3 linked regions of the Oryzias latipes genome follow. The protein of the gene in region 1 interacts with the protein of each later gene in a biochemical or structural test. Links are inferred from orthologs where the notes say so. Each region holds a gene or a part of one and is shown in the gene's direction. Other genes may lie near its edges. The genes, in order: anapc2, ube2s and pttg1.

What was found.
Region 2: the proteins of anapc2 (region 1) and ube2s form a complex in vitro, tested with the Homo sapiens proteins (3 studies listed by BioGRID and IntAct). The link is inferred for Oryzias latipes from reciprocal best matches to the Homo sapiens genes ANAPC2 and UBE2S.
Region 3: the proteins of anapc2 (region 1) and pttg1 form a complex in vitro, tested with the Homo sapiens proteins (2 studies listed by BioGRID, with this or other methods). The link is inferred for Oryzias latipes from reciprocal best matches to the Homo sapiens genes ANAPC2 and PTTG1.

The regions. Positions count from the first base shown.
Region 1 is NC_019866.2:2,381,776-2,386,833, reverse strand, and holds the start of anapc2 (anaphase-promoting complex subunit 2), read left to right. Parts: upstream 1-1,632; 5' UTR 1,633-1,841; coding exon 1,842-1,940; intron 1,941-2,339; coding exon 2,340-2,589; intron 2,590-2,651; coding exon 2,652-2,973; intron 2,974-3,045; coding exon 3,046-3,178; intron 3,179-3,238; coding exon 3,239-3,419; intron 3,420-3,494; coding exon 3,495-3,614; intron 3,615-3,966; coding exon 3,967-4,084; intron 4,085-4,191; coding exon 4,192-4,370; intron 4,371-4,441; coding exon 4,442-4,583; intron 4,584-4,653; coding exon 4,654-4,729; intron 4,730-4,800; coding exon 4,801-5,004; intron 5,005-5,058. Other genes in the region: E3 ubiquitin-protein ligase RNF25, read right to left, coding at 1-41, 257-276. UniProt on the Homo sapiens protein: Together with the RING-H2 protein ANAPC11, constitutes the catalytic component of the anaphase promoting complex/cyclosome (APC/C), a cell cycle-regulated E3 ubiquitin ligase that controls progression through mitosis and the G1 phase of the cell cycle.
Region 2 is NC_019874.2:19,503,172-19,508,377, forward strand, and holds the start of ube2s (ubiquitin-conjugating enzyme E2 S), read left to right. Parts: upstream 1-1,814; 5' UTR 1,815-2,013; coding exon 2,014-2,016; intron 2,017-2,941; coding exon 2,942-3,089; intron 3,090-4,172; coding exon 4,173-4,363; intron 4,364-4,443; coding exon 4,444-4,782; 3' UTR 4,783-5,206. UniProt on the Homo sapiens protein: Accepts ubiquitin from the E1 complex and catalyzes its covalent attachment to other proteins. Catalyzes 'Lys-11'-linked polyubiquitination.
Region 3 is NC_019868.2:9,721,345-9,726,618, forward strand, and holds pttg1 (securin), read left to right. Parts: upstream 1-1,830; 5' UTR 1,831-1,893; exon of another isoform or gene 1,894-2,000; intron 2,001-2,648; 5' UTR 2,649-2,653; coding exon 2,654-2,741; intron 2,742-2,826; coding exon 2,827-2,960; intron 2,961-3,051; coding exon 3,052-3,133; intron 3,134-3,565; coding exon 3,566-3,721; intron 3,722-4,347; coding exon 4,348-4,433; 3' UTR 4,434-4,494; downstream 4,495-5,274. Other genes in the region: sept6 (septin-6), read right to left, coding at 1,285-1,314; ankyrin repeat domain-containing protein SOWAHD, read left to right, coding at 4,753-4,780, 4,894-5,274. UniProt on the Homo sapiens protein: Regulatory protein, which plays a central role in chromosome stability, in the p53/TP53 pathway, and DNA repair. Probably acts by blocking the action of key proteins.

The DNA.
Region 1 (5,058 bases):
CCAGGTAAATGGACTGCAGCACCTCGATCTCCGACTGAACACTGCGGACACAGAACAGCTGATTGGAGACAGTGTTTACTGTTTCATAAGCAGCTGTTCGTTAGCTTTCCTTTAGCTAACTGTCCCGTTTCTGACAAACGGGACAAACGTGACTCAGATTAAAGAGCGGATTATGTGAGGCGACATTAAATAATCTCTGTTTGATTTTTTTTAAAGTCGTTTAAAGACAAATCACAGGAACTGTTGAGACACTCACTCGCTCTCCACGGCCATCATGTTTCTGCTGCCGACTAGCGGAAGTTACGTCATTTATCTGACTTTCAGAACAAAAGCACGCTTTTATTTTTATATTTTTTATTTTTTCACAGTGAGAAAAATGGTAAAAAACAATTTGATATACAACGATTATGTTGTTTGTGTGACATCACATTAATGCTGATATTTTAAAACAAGTGAGACTTAGATTTTTATGCTCCGGGGGTTAACTACAGCCTCCTCTTTCAGGTTAAGTTAAAATAGAAGTATAGATTTTTTTCAACATTTACATTTAAAATATGAAATCCTAATGTCATATTGGAAATAGCTCAGTACAACGTTTAAGGAAGTAAATGCTGTTTGTCGGCAGATAATTTTTGTTTTTTCTTTAAACGAACAAAACAGTTTTGATGTTGGTGCAACAGCAAGGATATGTTAATTAAAGCAAACACAGTTAATAATAAGACAGATTATGTTTAACCACTAATCCGTCTGTCTATAGGGAAAACTTAGATAAGATGTTTGCAAACTTAATTAGAATTTTTTTTTAAACAGGGTAATTGGTTCCTGCTAAACCAAATTACCGGTAAAAAAATTACAGTTTATTTAGAAATTAATTGTTTATTTTAACATTTAAACTTATATTTTATTCAGTAAAGAAAATGCAGAGACATTTTCAAAAACGTGAAAATAAATAGTTTCCGTGAAAATACATAGTGGATGTAACTTGTCTTGCAGTTCACCAGTTTGTCCACAAGAGGGCGATAAGGATTTTGACTGTGATCACATTTTGTGTGTTTTTCCATTATAAATCATTGTTCTGTTGTATCTGTTTGCCCACTGAGGCAGATATCATGTCATAACCCATCCTCACACGTAAAAACATTTTTGATCGGGTAAAATTTGATTTTTTTAAGTTTTTCAACAAGATAATCATTTTTTCTGAGTTATTAATTTAATTGTATTTATTTCGTAAATACTTTAGTAAATGTTACAATTTTGATAAGATAAGATAAATATGCTTTTTTATTACAACCTGAGACATTTAATTTTGAATAAATTAATTTGATCGATGTTGATTATTTTACATAAAGATTAACTTAATTTGGTAAATAATTTTTCTCCAGCTCTTAGTTGCTGTTACAAACATTACGTGTTGCAGTTTTCCACTCTGTCCACACGAGGGCAGTAGTTGTTCACAAAAATGCAAAATGCAAAACAGACTTCTTTTAAATACTTTTGACTACTTTTTTTTACAACTTTTAAATTTTTTGCACGTACATCATGCAAACAACTAAAACAACGAAGAAAAAACAGAACGATGCGCATTAACAACTGTAGGTGGCAGCACTGCCATCTTTCAGCGCTAAATACAGTAGAAGAAGTCAAAGAAGATCTGAACCCGCCATTCAGTAGGAGGGGTCACGTGGTTTTGTTTTGTTAATAAATAGTATCTTTTTCTTTGTATATTACTGTGTTTTTGGAGAAATAATGTGTATTTGTACCTTCAACTAAACCTCTTAAAACCGGCACGCGCCTGTTTGGACTTCCGCCCGGTTTGTTAATTGAGGAGAAAAACCCATAAAATGGAGGAAATGATGGAAGACTCGGAGTCTGTGGAAATGTCTGGACCCGAACCGGTCCAGGGTGTCGCGGCTGCATGGGATTCGGTCTCTGCGGCTCTGGTGAGTGGACCCGAACCCCGAACCTCAGTGTCGGAGTCCAACCATGAGTGAGACGTCAGTTTATCGAGGTTATTCACGTCTCCAAATCTGGTGGTAGTTCACTTTGATGAATCTCACACATTTAAAACAATCTGTGGATCATTATCAGACTCATTAGACTGCATCTATATGCGTGATATTTTCATTTGTATATCAGTCACAGATGAAGCTTTGAAGGCGTTTTTAAATCTGCTCCTCCTTTCAAACACACCTGAGTTTAGAAAAAACTGGTTCAAAGTTCTTCATTGCTGTGTTTGAACTAAAAGTAAAAGCCAATCCGAGCCCAGGATCTGCTCTGGCATCAGCACGTACAGCAGCTTCTGGACGGATGCTGAGGCTCTGCGTTGGGTTCTCTTGCAGGTGTCTCCTGGCTTCTCGGTGTCGGATCAGAACCTCGTGGACGGCCTGGCTCTGCTCTGCCGTCGGGGTCTGGCTCCTCTTCTCGGGGTGTGGCTGCTGGAGACCTTGCAGATGCGTTTGTCGTCCTCCGTGGTTCCAGAGTTCTGGTGTGGACTGAAGCAGCCGGAGAACGAGCTGGAGGAGAGGGGCCGGGCCTGGGTTCTCCTCACCGCCTTCAGGACTCTGCTGGACCGCCTGGAACCCTTCCTGAGTAAGACCCAGACACCGGGGGGTCCACTGCTGTCGGACATTTCTGACACGTCTGCTCCTTAGGTGGTTTGGAGAAGCTGGGGGCGTGGCAGCAGGAGGGCCGCTGTGGTCTGAGCGGGCCGGGACCCAAAGGGCTCAAGGAGCAGGCCTTCACGACCATCAGAGCGCTCCTGCTCTTCTCGCCATCTCCTGTCCTGCAGGAGCGTGTGCTGGAGTTCTACAGCCGGACCTTCTCTGTTTACATGAAGCAGGAGGGGAACGCCGAGGATGGGGCAGAGGCTCCGGATGGTTCTGAGGGAGGGGCCTGTCCGGGCTGTGGGGTCCCGCTTCACCAGTGCTGGTGTCTGGAGGCCCTGGAGCAGCTGCAGCAGCTCAGCCACATCCTGTGAGAACCAGAGCGAAGCTCCTTGCAGCTCCTGTGGTCTGTCAGAGTCTGACCTGCTGTTTGTGGCTGCAGGTCCAAACTGCAGCTGCTGGACTGGGTCAGCTCAGAGGCCGTCACCTCCATCCTCCACAAGCTCATCGAGCAGCGGATGGAGCAGCACTGCCGCGGCGAGTACGAGCGCTCCTTCCTGCTGAACTTCCAGGAGGTGAGGCATCCGTTGTAGCAGCTCCCTGGTCGGCTCCGTCTGAACCTTTCCGCCTTGCAGTGGTTGGAGCTGGTGCTCGGCTGGCTGGGGAAAGTCTTTGCCTGTGAGGGGTCGGGAGACGGTCCGGCACCAGCATCTTTGGCCAGTCCGGTCATGAAGCAGTGGAGGTGCCACATGCACCAGTTCTTCTGCAGGATCTACGTCAACATGAGGATCGAGGAGCTCTTCAGCATCATCAGAGGTGACTCTCACCAACCCGACGGAGTTTTTTTTTTGTTTGTTTTTGTCTAACATCTTTGCTCCATATCTCGTGCAGATTTCCCAGAATCCAAAGCTGCGATTGAGGATCTCAAGTTTTGCCTGGAGAGAACTAACCAGCGACAGCAGCTCCTCACTTCCCTGAAATCTGCCTTCGAAAGCCGTTTGCTGCACCCGGGTAAGTAACCGAGTGGTTTGGTAACCGAGTGGTTTGGTAACCGAGTGGTTTGGTAACCGAGCAGCAGGTCTGTATGTAGCTAAGCAGGGAGTAGATGTCAGCGGCGGGCCGGTACCACAGAAGCCGGTCGTTATCAGCAGGTCGTCGGTACCCAAGATGCCGGTTTCTACCTGAGCGGCGGCTTAGCAGCAGTGAGGGGAAATAAAACCTGTAGCTCAGTGGGTGTAAAGTTCTGTCACGACTCTCCAGAACCTGTGGAGGACCGACTGTCCTGTTGGATCCTCCAAAGGTTTCCTGATTCTGTTGAATGCTTTTCTCTTAAAAATAATCCTCATCCTCAACTTGTGTGCAGGAGTTCACACCTCTGACATCCTCACCGTTTACATCTCAGCCATCAAAGCCCTCAGAGAGCTGGACCCGTCCATGGTCATCCTGCAGGTTGCCTGTCAGCCAATCAGAAAGTACCTCAGGTGAGTTTGCGTGTCTGCGGTCTGACAGGCGGTTTCAGGAAACCCGCTTCAGTTAGAAATGTGTTCATTGAACCGTCTAAACCGCAGCGCTGCCTCTTGCTGTTCAGGACTCGGGAGGACACGGTGCGGCAGATCGTGGCGGGTCTGACCGGAGATGCGGAGGGCTGCACCGACCTGGCCTCCGAGCTGTCCCGCGGAGACCCGGTGACGCTGGAGATGCAGGACAGCGACGACGAAGGCACCGACCCGGAGGACTGGACCCCGGACCCGACGGACGCCGTGCCCGGTCGGTGATGGCGTGGTGCGACGGTAGTCGCTCCGCTGCGGCCCTTCGGCTCACCTCTGACCCTTCTGCAGATAAGCTGGGCTCCAAGCGGCGCTCCTCAGACATCATCAGCCTGCTGGTCAGCATCTACGGCAGCAAGGACATCTTCATCGACGAGTACAGAGGCGTCCTGGCCGACCGCCTGCTGCAGCAGCTCAACTACAACACCGCCAGGTCTGATCACCTCCGTCATCCGTTCATTTTCTTCTTCACATTCGTCATTTTGGACTCTGCTCTGTTCCAGGGAGATCCGGAACGTGGAGCTGCTGAAGCTTCGCTTCGGAGAGTCTCACATGCACTACTGCGAGGTCATGCTGAAGGTAACCCCCACACTCGGCAGCTGGACTCTCCTCCGCCAGGAGCTGCAGTTTGATGCGGCGCTCCTCTGCAGGACATGGCGGACTCCCGCAGGATCAACGGCAACATCCGGGAGGAGGAGTCGCGGCTGAGCGAAGACGAGCAGCCGCCGCTGCCTCTGTCCGCCATCATCCTGTCCTCTGAGTTCTGGCCGACGCTGAAGGAGGAGAAGCTGGAGCTGCCCCCCGTCGTGTGCCGGGCCATGGAGGCCTACACCCACAGATACGAGAAACTGAAGGTGGAGTCCAGCTGTTTGTTTTTTCTGGAGGATTCTACAGACAGACAGCTGTGG
Region 2 (5,206 bases), on another chromosome or scaffold:
AGCAATAATGTAAGCTTGCAACGTCATCTAGTGGCAGCTTTATTAATTTCAGTTGTGGCAGAGAGGAGGTGAAGACAGACTTTCAGATATTTTTTCTCTAAAAGAAAAACAATACACATTTATATTAAAAAATAAAACACGAAATATTTCATATGGATTATTGTCTTTCAACTTAAGAATTTTTTTGATGGAGAAATTACTTGTGATGATATTCATGAATGTTGATGATAATGTTACATTTTCCTAGAATGCAACATGTCTACTATATCTGTGATTGACTGGATAACATCATATTCAGTGAAAGCAAAACTGCTCTGAGCAGGAAATACTGTGTTCAATCCAAGAGATACAAGTTGATAGCCATTACAAAGGCAGCAAAATGTAAGATGAAACTCCATTGTTGAACCTTTCTGTTTTGAGTGAACACATTTCAGCCATACAGGACCAATGAAAGGAGAGATATTCATAGAACAATATTTAATAACAAATTAGATAATTTGAAGATGCCATGAGCACTCCATCAGTTATTTTTTAGTCTGATATTGTGTCAGATGTTGCTATTCTGAACCTTTTACAAATCTTTTAATGTATGTTATGTGTTGAATTTAGAACTGAAGTTGTTCTTTGTCAAAATTGTTGAATGTTAGTGTATCATGTTCTGATTTTTTTTAAAGTTATGTCTGTTGTCTCATTTACAGTGATTTCTGTTGAGCTTTGTAGAATGGTAATAAAAAGACCTTCTTATCCTCTCCTACCTTCCTTTTGAGATTAAAAAAAAACCCTGTTTTATCTACATTGTCTCTATCAATGTTGTGTCCAAATTGGTTACCATTCCCAGTTATATGTTTGATTTTTGCACAAGAGGTCCTGAGGACACTATTGGGTTATCTGTTTGTGTGCTATTTTGCATTTGGCGCTGTTTCTTCCTTCATAAATGCACAGGAAACTTTGAGATGTACAAAGACCTGCATAACATTTTTTAAAGATTTCTCACAGAACATAAGCCAGTTTTGAGTACAATGTTTCAAAATCAAATTGTGCAAAAACAAGCATTAGATCACAGCAATGCTAAAATAGCGTTCTATTGTCTGATAGTTGCGGGGTTTGTTTTTATGTTCATAGATATTTAGGACACACCACTAAATTATTGGTATTTGTATGATGGACAGTCATTTAATATTATTATTGGCCTACAATTTTTTTTGTTAGTCCAAAATCCTGCTCCAAAACCAGGAAAGCTGTCCTCAGGTTGAGGCACCATGTTTATTGAATGCCCTTATCCTGTCAGTGTCCCTGATTGACTCTGTTGTGTCCTTTTATAAAAAAGCTAACATGCATTTGTTTAGGAAAGGTTAAAAGTAATGAATGTGAGTGTATGTGGTTGTGTGGCTCAGACAGTCCAGGGTGTACCACACCTGGGGGTAGTTAGAATAGACTCCAACAACCGCCACAGGGAGTGTTTAGAAAATGCATAAAAAGGTGCTTCAGAAATACAGCTCACTTATTTGCTTAAACAATTATATTAAAATATAATTAGGAATATTTGTTTTAAATGTATTTTTCACGTTATAAAAATGCTCACTGCTATTGATTGAATTATATTAGCTAATCTAATATACCCGATATTCTTGATTGTGGTTTATTTCCTGTCAGTATCGATCGGTAGTTTGAGTTTTTCAAACGGGCCTATGGCTCACCAGCATCAGCTCTCTTTACACTCTGATTGGCTTATATATTTTTTCTATCATGACGTAATAGAAAATCTAGATTGTGATTGGTTAGGAACTTCATACGCGTCAACTTGCTAAGACGGCTATTGGTTAATATCAGCAGGTTAAATCGAGGATCGTATTTTTGTTCCTGTGTCAACGTTAAAGCGAAAAGGACAGTAATCAGGGTTTTTTTTGTGATTAAGTTTCTACAAAATACTTTTTCTCAAATAGTAGCAGAAAAAGCTTCGTTTTATCCCATTCCAGTAAACAACCATTCACCAAAAAGATCTCATTTTCGAAGATGGTAAGACAGATGACCGAGCGTATTGCTAACAGCTAAGGGGAGTTTTTGCTAGCTTGCTCCGGTGTTAGATCGTCAAAAACACCCTGGTTGTGGTTGATTTTCTTTCTTTTTTAAAAGTTGTTTTTTATTCGCGGAACCAAAACATGATTTTAAAAATAGTACGGAGTACTTTTAGCGTAATGATCGCGTTTTTACAGCCTTTAATCAACGCTAAGTTCGAGGCATTACCTCTTGCTAACCGTTAACGTAAAGTTATCTCCTTATTTCTGTATAATAATTAGTAAGAGTTGCAATTTTATATTTTATCAGTCATGATACGATCGTACCTTGATTTAATGTGCCTTTATATTACCTACAGTAAAACTTTTTTTCTTCTTTTCTTTAAGCTTGGCGACAAAAACTTTGAAACTCAATGTTGTATTTTTGTTCTAGCAGCATAGCATTCGTTTGAATATCCTCCTGACCCCCAGCAATGCAAATTTCTAACTGAAAATCTAGCATAAATGGCACAGTAGCATCCAGCTGTATTAAATCAACATAAATAAATGATAACTTTTATATAATGCAGGATTTTTTTTATCAATTGAACGTGCAGTTTAAATAGAAGTGCATTTTTATTGCTGCTTCTTAGGTGTTGCAGATGTGACATCCTTAAGTACATTCTCATGTGGTCAGCAATTTATATTTTCCGACAATGGCTTGCTTGGATTTATCTTTTCTAAATTATCTCATTTTATTATCTTTATATTTTATTGAAGAATCAGACTAAACGAGATTGATGAAAATTCTTTGTATCTTGTTTAATTTTAAGTTATATTTTTAGTGATTTCTTTGTATTTTTCTCTCGTTATCAAATCGGTTTCATTTCCAAAGCTTTTTACACATTTAAATGCCCATTTATGTGCCCTGTTCTGTTTTCCCATAGAACTCAAATGTTGAGAATTTGCCCCCTCATGTTCTGCGCTTGGTCTACAAAGAGGTATCAGCTTTAGCAGCAGATCCACCTGAAGGTATAAAGATTTATCCTAGTGAGGAAGACATAACTGAACTCCACACATCCATTGAAGGACCAGGTAAGGATTTTAGTGAGGCTCCATGGAAAGCTTAAACTAGATTTGCCATTTTTAGGCAGTATTTCCTAAAATAGGAAAGGACTACAGCATTTTACGTTATTAAAAATGTCATGTCTTGTACTGCACATTCTGCATTTAATTATAGATTTCATTTTGAAATGAGCCTTTTGCCATCTTTTTCTTGGACTTGTGGATAGATATAGCTCATTTCTGAAGGAAGAACTGATTTAAATTGGACGGATTGCATTGTTGATGCATCTATTTTTATCAGGGGCTTTTAAGCTTATGTTGAATGGAAATTCTTAAAAAGTGATAACGATGCAAGTCGTAGGAGTTTCAAAAATTCAACATTCCAAATAAAGATTGTAATCGTTTAAACAAAGAGCTATAACTCACAGCTTTTTTGAACAATTTTTAAAAATTGTTGCTATTGTTAAAGGTTTATCCCCATAATATTGGCATGCAGTTCAGTTCATGCATTAGAAGAAATATATAATTCAAAATCCGTTTTTAAATGCCAAACAGTTTAGCGCATGATTGCCATCTTGAGGCTGAGGCTACACATTACTTCGTGAAGGTAACCACAAATAATAACTATAAAATCCAAAGTTGTATGAACCCTTTGGGTTATTCTTGTTATTTTTTTATTTAAAAGAGCTGTGTGCTATTGTAAGAGTTCAGCTATCCAAAGTAAACCGTGAAGACAGTGAGGCAAGGATGTTTGTGAATTGTTTGTATTTTGTGAGAGAGGAAGTGCGTCTTAATATGCTGGGCATATTTTAAGCATAATCCAGCTTCAAAACGTAACCATTTAGCTTTTTTATTTTGTTCTCCTTTAGAGCTGAGCAGACGTGGATGAAGAACGGTTCCAGTTCTTTGGCATGTTTAGCCGTGCTCAATTGCAAAAATAGTGCAGATTTATCAAGGACTGATGTGCAAAAGCCTGTCATTTTAAAGAATTTTGATGTTTAGCACGTCTATGATTTCAAAGTTAGAGATTTGATTCAGCTTGAAAAAAATTCAGTCTGTGTATCCGCAGTTAAGACATACTGTTCATGCTATGAATTCTTTATACTTTGACAGAGGGAACTCCATTTGCTGGTGGCATTTTCCGAATGCGTCTGGTCCTCGGGAAGGACTTCCCTGCTGTTCCACCCAAGGGGTATTTCTTGACCAAGATTTTTCATCCCAACGTCGGCCACAAAGGAGAAATCTGTGTGAATGTGCTGAAGAGGGACTGGAAGGCAGAGCTCGGGCTCAGACACATCTTACTTGTAAGAGTTCCACCATCGGCTATCTTTCCCCTGAGTGTGATGTATGTGGTCCGTCAACGATTTTCTCTTTGTGACGGCAGACCATCAAGTGTCTTCTAATCCATCCAAACCCGGAGTCGGCTCTGAACGAGGAGGCCGGGCGCTTGTTGTTGGAGGACTATGCAGAGTACGAGTCCCGAGCCCGCCTCCTCACAGAAATCCACGCTATGGGCGGTACGTCGGGGGCACCTCAGGATCCGAATGACGGCCCTCAGCCAAAAAAGCACGCGGGCGACCCTACAAAGAGAGCAGGACCCAGTGTACCAGCAGGTCTGGGTAACAGTGCCAATGGAGCCAGCAGCAATAGCAACAGTAGCAGCAACATCAATAATGTAGTGAAAAAGAAAGCCGATAAGAAGCGCGCATTGAGACGACTTTAATACCTCAGTGAAACTTTCTGTGTGTCTGAGTGAGTGAATGAATTAAAGGAAGTGTAAATATAAATATTGAAGTGTGCTGACAGAACCATTTTGTTCACATTTTTTGTTAAGTTTTCCGATTAGAGTCAAGAATGTCCTTCCTAGCCTTTGTTTTGTCATCTGTTTAAATCATCCTGTCATCACAGATCTAGTTCTTTTCAGTCCTAAAGCTATTGTTCCTCCTGAAAAAAGGAAATTAAATTTTTTTTTACTTTTAAACCATGTCATTAGTTTTGTTTTAAATTCGGCCCACTTTGATTGAATAACATAAAATGACTTTCAGTCGGAGGAAAAAACAAAAACCTTCAACCAGACAAAAGTATTGTTGTCTTTGTTGATAGGATGTCTTTTTGAGATGTTTTTTTTTTTGCATGTGTGGCTGTGA
Region 3 (5,274 bases), on another chromosome or scaffold:
CAACATTTAAATTACACAACACAAACATTTTTCAACCACTTGTAGATTCCCTTACAGGAGCAAATAGTTGAAACCGTTTAGTCTGCTGTGCATCATGTGAACTATTGGTTTTAGGCTGATTGCACCTCTATGCGCTCTGCTTTCTGGACCAGAATAGCTCGGAAGACAAAGCTATAAAGCACTGTTGTTGCATATTTGGGAGGGTAGCTGGCAGATTGCTCGAGAGTCTCACATTGAGAGCCAATGTCTGCATTCAGGAAAAGCAAAGAATGTACATTGCATGCCAAAAGCAAGAGCTCTCCACAAGCTAAAATGAACACAAGCAGCCATTATGTGGCTGAACATAACACAGTGTTGTCCAATACGGTGATGGCTTTAAAGGAGGGAAAAGAAAAACTCTGAGAAGTCATTTTAAAATAACTGTGCAAGCTGGTGGTACTTGGAAGCGGCAGATTGTTTTAAAGGGGCTGAATTGGGGTCAAATAGCTGAAGGTGTGAAGGAAATGAGAGACTAAACACTTTATAAATCGCAGGCATCTTCTCTCAACATAATCTGCTTCATTCATTGGAGCCACAAAGGGATATAAAACTGGACAACCTTGCTATTCTAAGCACTCCCTCTGGACTAAGTGGTTTCCTTTCTCCCTTAAAAAAAAGAGCAGCACACTTTGTCCTAGCATAGCTTTAAAACCGCTTGTTTATATGCATTACTACTAAGTAATAGTAACCAAGAAATATTGTTTACTTTTAGACAACGCCCGTTGAAAGTTAACGGGATTTACATGACAGAACAGAACGGAAATGAACACTGAAGCTGAGCTGAAATGGGGGCGTTCAGAATGAATGGCCTACGGGGGGATTTGTATTGATTAAACCTTTTAAATATACGACATTTTTGTTACGACGGCAATGAAAAACTAATAATTCTACCAGGCGCAGTTTCGTTAATGAGATAATTAAGCTAGCTGTAACCAGCATGGAGATAAAGGCGTTGTTCTCGATTAAGAATACAATACAAAAGCTAAGACCAGGTACTCCTATCTACAATTTTACAAAGGCACAGCTCTAAATGAATATCCAAAGCATATTTGGGGTGTTTTGGTCAATACAGTGACATTACACTGGTTTAGCTATGATGCCGCGAATTTCTGAAAGGCACAAAAAATGCGGGGAGTTCCTTATTAACACCTAATTCCATCTAACATATCCTTGACGCACATTAAACGTAAAACTAATTCATATTTAGGCTGATGGATGCGTTTAAAAGTAAAACAGAAGACTTACAGCTTGCCTTGCTATCTCGGTCGAAGCCATGATGCTTTCTGTTAGCTCTCCCTCAACTGTCCTCTTTCAGCAGCCCTGCTGAACAGTTAACGTTCCTCAGAAAGATGGCCTGTTTGGAATGTACCATTGAATCTACGGAGTTAATCATGTAGAGAACACGTAGCTTTGCTTTTGCGTCTTGATTACAACAATAGGTACTAGGGAAAAAAAGACATATAACTGCAGTTTATCTTTAAGACGGATTTATTTATAGAAAAATAAACACATAAGATAAAGAAAGATGGTGCAGACATGGTTTCGTCCGATAGAACGCTAGTAAATGGAAGTCAGCAAGCAATAAAAAAATAAAATAAAAGGGGAATAATTAGCATGAATAATTATCCAGTTTATGAATATGGGCAATTTTTGTTAGTTTGGTATTGACTAAATGATTATTTTTTTTCGATAATATGCCCAATTCTGTTCATACAACGCTTTGAAATGAGACACGGGTGAAATTAATTCATGCCAGTCACGTGGGGTACAACGACCAATCATAATCACTGCCCAACGACAGTCACGAGGGCTACAACGACCAATGGAATGAAGTGAACGGATTTAAAAACAAAGGTGCGGAAGCTGTTGTAGCTAGATAAAAAACAAAAAGCAGGATAAAGACGATAAAGCCTTCGGATTGAGACCAAGAACTATTGTTCTTTGAGGTTACTAACACTAAGGTAAATAGACGTGAAAGTAACCGTTGGTTTATCATTCCAAGATTTTACGTAAATGGGCAATTTTTTTTAAACCGTACGTTGCACGACAAACTGCTAACGATAATTTTTAAACCGTACGTAACGTTGCATGACAAACAAAGTTAACCGCTAACAATAATGTAGCATTGGACAAATCTCTGCTGTTTACATTATTGTCAGTAAATGTAAATAAATATTTGTTGTCTGAACTAAATTATTCTGAACTTAATCATTTTCCAAATGGGAAATGTATCCATTATTTTGTAAATAATTGCATAGTTGTTAGATGAAAACAAAATGTCTACTTTAGCTTAGTTTAGTTTTGGGCCTGACAATACATAATCTTCTTCTTAATGCTAAACATCAGCACCAATTAGCAGAAAGCCTTTTTGATGTAAAAAAAAAATAAATAAATCCGTAATTGAACCTCAAAATGCCTGAATTGTGGGGAAACAAAATGAGAATAGCCAACTCTGTTAGTCTACTTATGAATTTCAAAGTGCACCTTTTTTTTCCCCCTTTTCTTTCAATAAATTAAGTTATATTTTTATGAATTTGTGTATATAAAACCCCATTTAAAGTAATTGAAAGTTTTTTGAAACCAAATGTTTTTCTTTTTTTACCTTTTAGCCAAGATGGCAAATGTCATCTTCACCGAACAGGAGAATGTTTGCCTCCGTCCCTCTTCCCTGAAAATGCGTCAGAGGCTTCTGTCTGCTCCAGGTATTAAAAACATGTTCAACTGTTTCAGATTATCTTTGTGGAACTCTGCATGATCCTCCTTTTTATTCTCGCTCTCTATAACCAGAAAAACAGTTGAAGTCTCCAATGTTGGTCAAAAATACCCCTGTCCATTCAGCGCGTAAGGCTTTTGGGGTGGTGAACAAAAAGATCTTAACCCCTTCTTTGAGTACACAAGAGAAAAAAGTTTTAAAACCACAGGTAAAAATAAACACTAATGACAAATGGATTTATTTCAGCAAAAGGCTATTCTGTTGTTTCTGTGTGTCCATATTGCCCTTCTTCTCAATAGGAAGTCAAGGTCGAGCATCCTTCTGAAGCCAAAGGGGAGGAATACCCAAAAATGGAAAATTTTATTCCTTACAACCCTCTAGGTAATGTCATGTTTGTTTGGTTTGCAGGCAAATTATGCTTTTAAGAGGTTTTTTTTTTTTTTTTTTAAACCAAGATGTTTAGTAGTTCCACATTTCCGCTGGTCGTGCTGCAGCTGTATGCCATCTGAAAGTCTTTACTGCTAATGTCACATCATTTCATAGCCACCATGTTTACAATATCCACTCTTATCACTGAGCATAATCAACGGGCACAGCGTCTTTCTGCTCATGAGTGGTGGTTGTTCAAGTAAAAGCAACAAAATGTAATGATGTGAAAGAATTGGAAGTGGCTCAGTGGCCTTGTGGTAGTGTCCACTGTGTTAAACGGCTCCCATGTGTGGCTGTGTCTTTTCTGACTTCTTTGGTTTTAAAGGGGCTTATTCACAGTCTGGGAAATTTTTCACCCATTCCTGAGTTTCTTCATATTTTCAGAGTTTGAGAAGTACAGCATACCCGAGGACTTCATTCCTTTCAGTGGCCTGGCTCTACCCGGATTGGCCTGTTTTACCTCGCCTCTTCTTGAGGAAGACCTGGAAAAGATTCAGCCTCTCCCAGACCCTTCACCTGCAAAAGGGTGCAGATTTCCAGGTATGGTTCTCCTTTATACGTCTGATAAATCTCCTATTTTCAGGAGCTTACAGAGGAAATCACTCTGTTGCAACAAAGGGAAATGCAACAGAACGCCACATGGTGCTTTAAATAAGTAATAAATACTAGGAAAAAGTAATCGTGTCATGTTTTTCAAAATTAGACAGAAAATATTTTAACTTTGAGGTTTGCTTTACTGTTAAAACAAAAAACTTCAAACCATTTGTACACAGATCTAGTAACTTTGGAGTCAACATGTTCGTTTTTTTTCTCTTTTCTTTTGGGGATACAAAATAAACTAGTTTGAATTTTCATTTACTCAGCTCTGTTGCAAAGAACCTGTTTGGCTCCTCAGTGCCCTTGGGGAAACACAGACTGGATTCTTGTCGAATGATCCCAAACTGTAACGTAATAGGAAAGCTTTCCCCCTAAACTACAATGCTGTTCCCTGTTACCTGTTAATCCTTTTAGTGTTGAACAGTTCAAACTATGATCAGACCTGTAGGTTACTCATTAACTGAATCATGTGACTTCCAACAAATGCCACTTGTTATGGCTGTTATTGTTGGAAAGTGTGCCTGTTGGCAGGAAAGCCTTCATAAACTCCTCTTCATTTTCCTTTTTAGATCACAGCTTGGAGCTGGATGCCTTCCTACAAACCCTTGAAGAGCTGACTGTTGAATTCCCCCCAGAACCGCTTACTGACTGCTGATGCCTGTTTGTTAAATGGCTGTTTTTATTATTTGTGTTGAAATAAAGTTTTCTTGGCAACATCTGTGGTCCAGAGTGTGTGTGTGTGTGTGATGGAATGGCTGCAAAAGTGTCAGGGGAGTGAACCTGAACTACTTCCTGCTTTAAACTCCAGCTGTGGTCACGTGTTGGGAGTCTTCTGAAGAGGATCTGCTTCATTAGAATGAACTTTTTCAGTTCCCCTTTCAGAGGAAAGATTTCCAGTCTTTGCTCGGAGTGGAAACTACACGGTGGACCTAAATTGCGCCTAAAGACCACCCATCCGCTTTTGCGGGAGTGGAATGCGGTGTGATTGCGGTATAGGAGCAGGTGAGTGAACTTTGCTGTGTCGCTATTTGGATTCTGTGAACGCGTGCATTCAGAATGAGGACCTGTCGAGCAGGTTTTGGACGCCCTCATGTTTACTTTTTGCGTCCTAACAGGATCCGGATCCCATCACTTTGTAATCGGACATCTTCAGGGTGTTGTCTGGGAGGAAGTGGCTGTTTGTTGGGGGGGGGGCGGCGGAATGGACCGGAACGGAGCAGACTCGCCTGTCAGCAGCAGCGACGCCCACGTCCCGCTGTCCGTGAGACAGGGCACCGTTGTGGAGCGGCTGTCCAGATACGGAATGCAGGTCATGCCCAGCGCCTTCCAGCGGAGGTCGAGGTTGCAGAAGATGCAGGAGGTCAGCGACGGCTCTGCAGCTGGAGCGCTGCGGAGGGACTCCACGGAGGAGTCCCCCACGCAGTCCGTGCGTAAAAAGTACCTGAGAGAACTACGCCAGAGCTGCAGCTTGGGCGCGCTGCCCTCGCAGAGCTGCT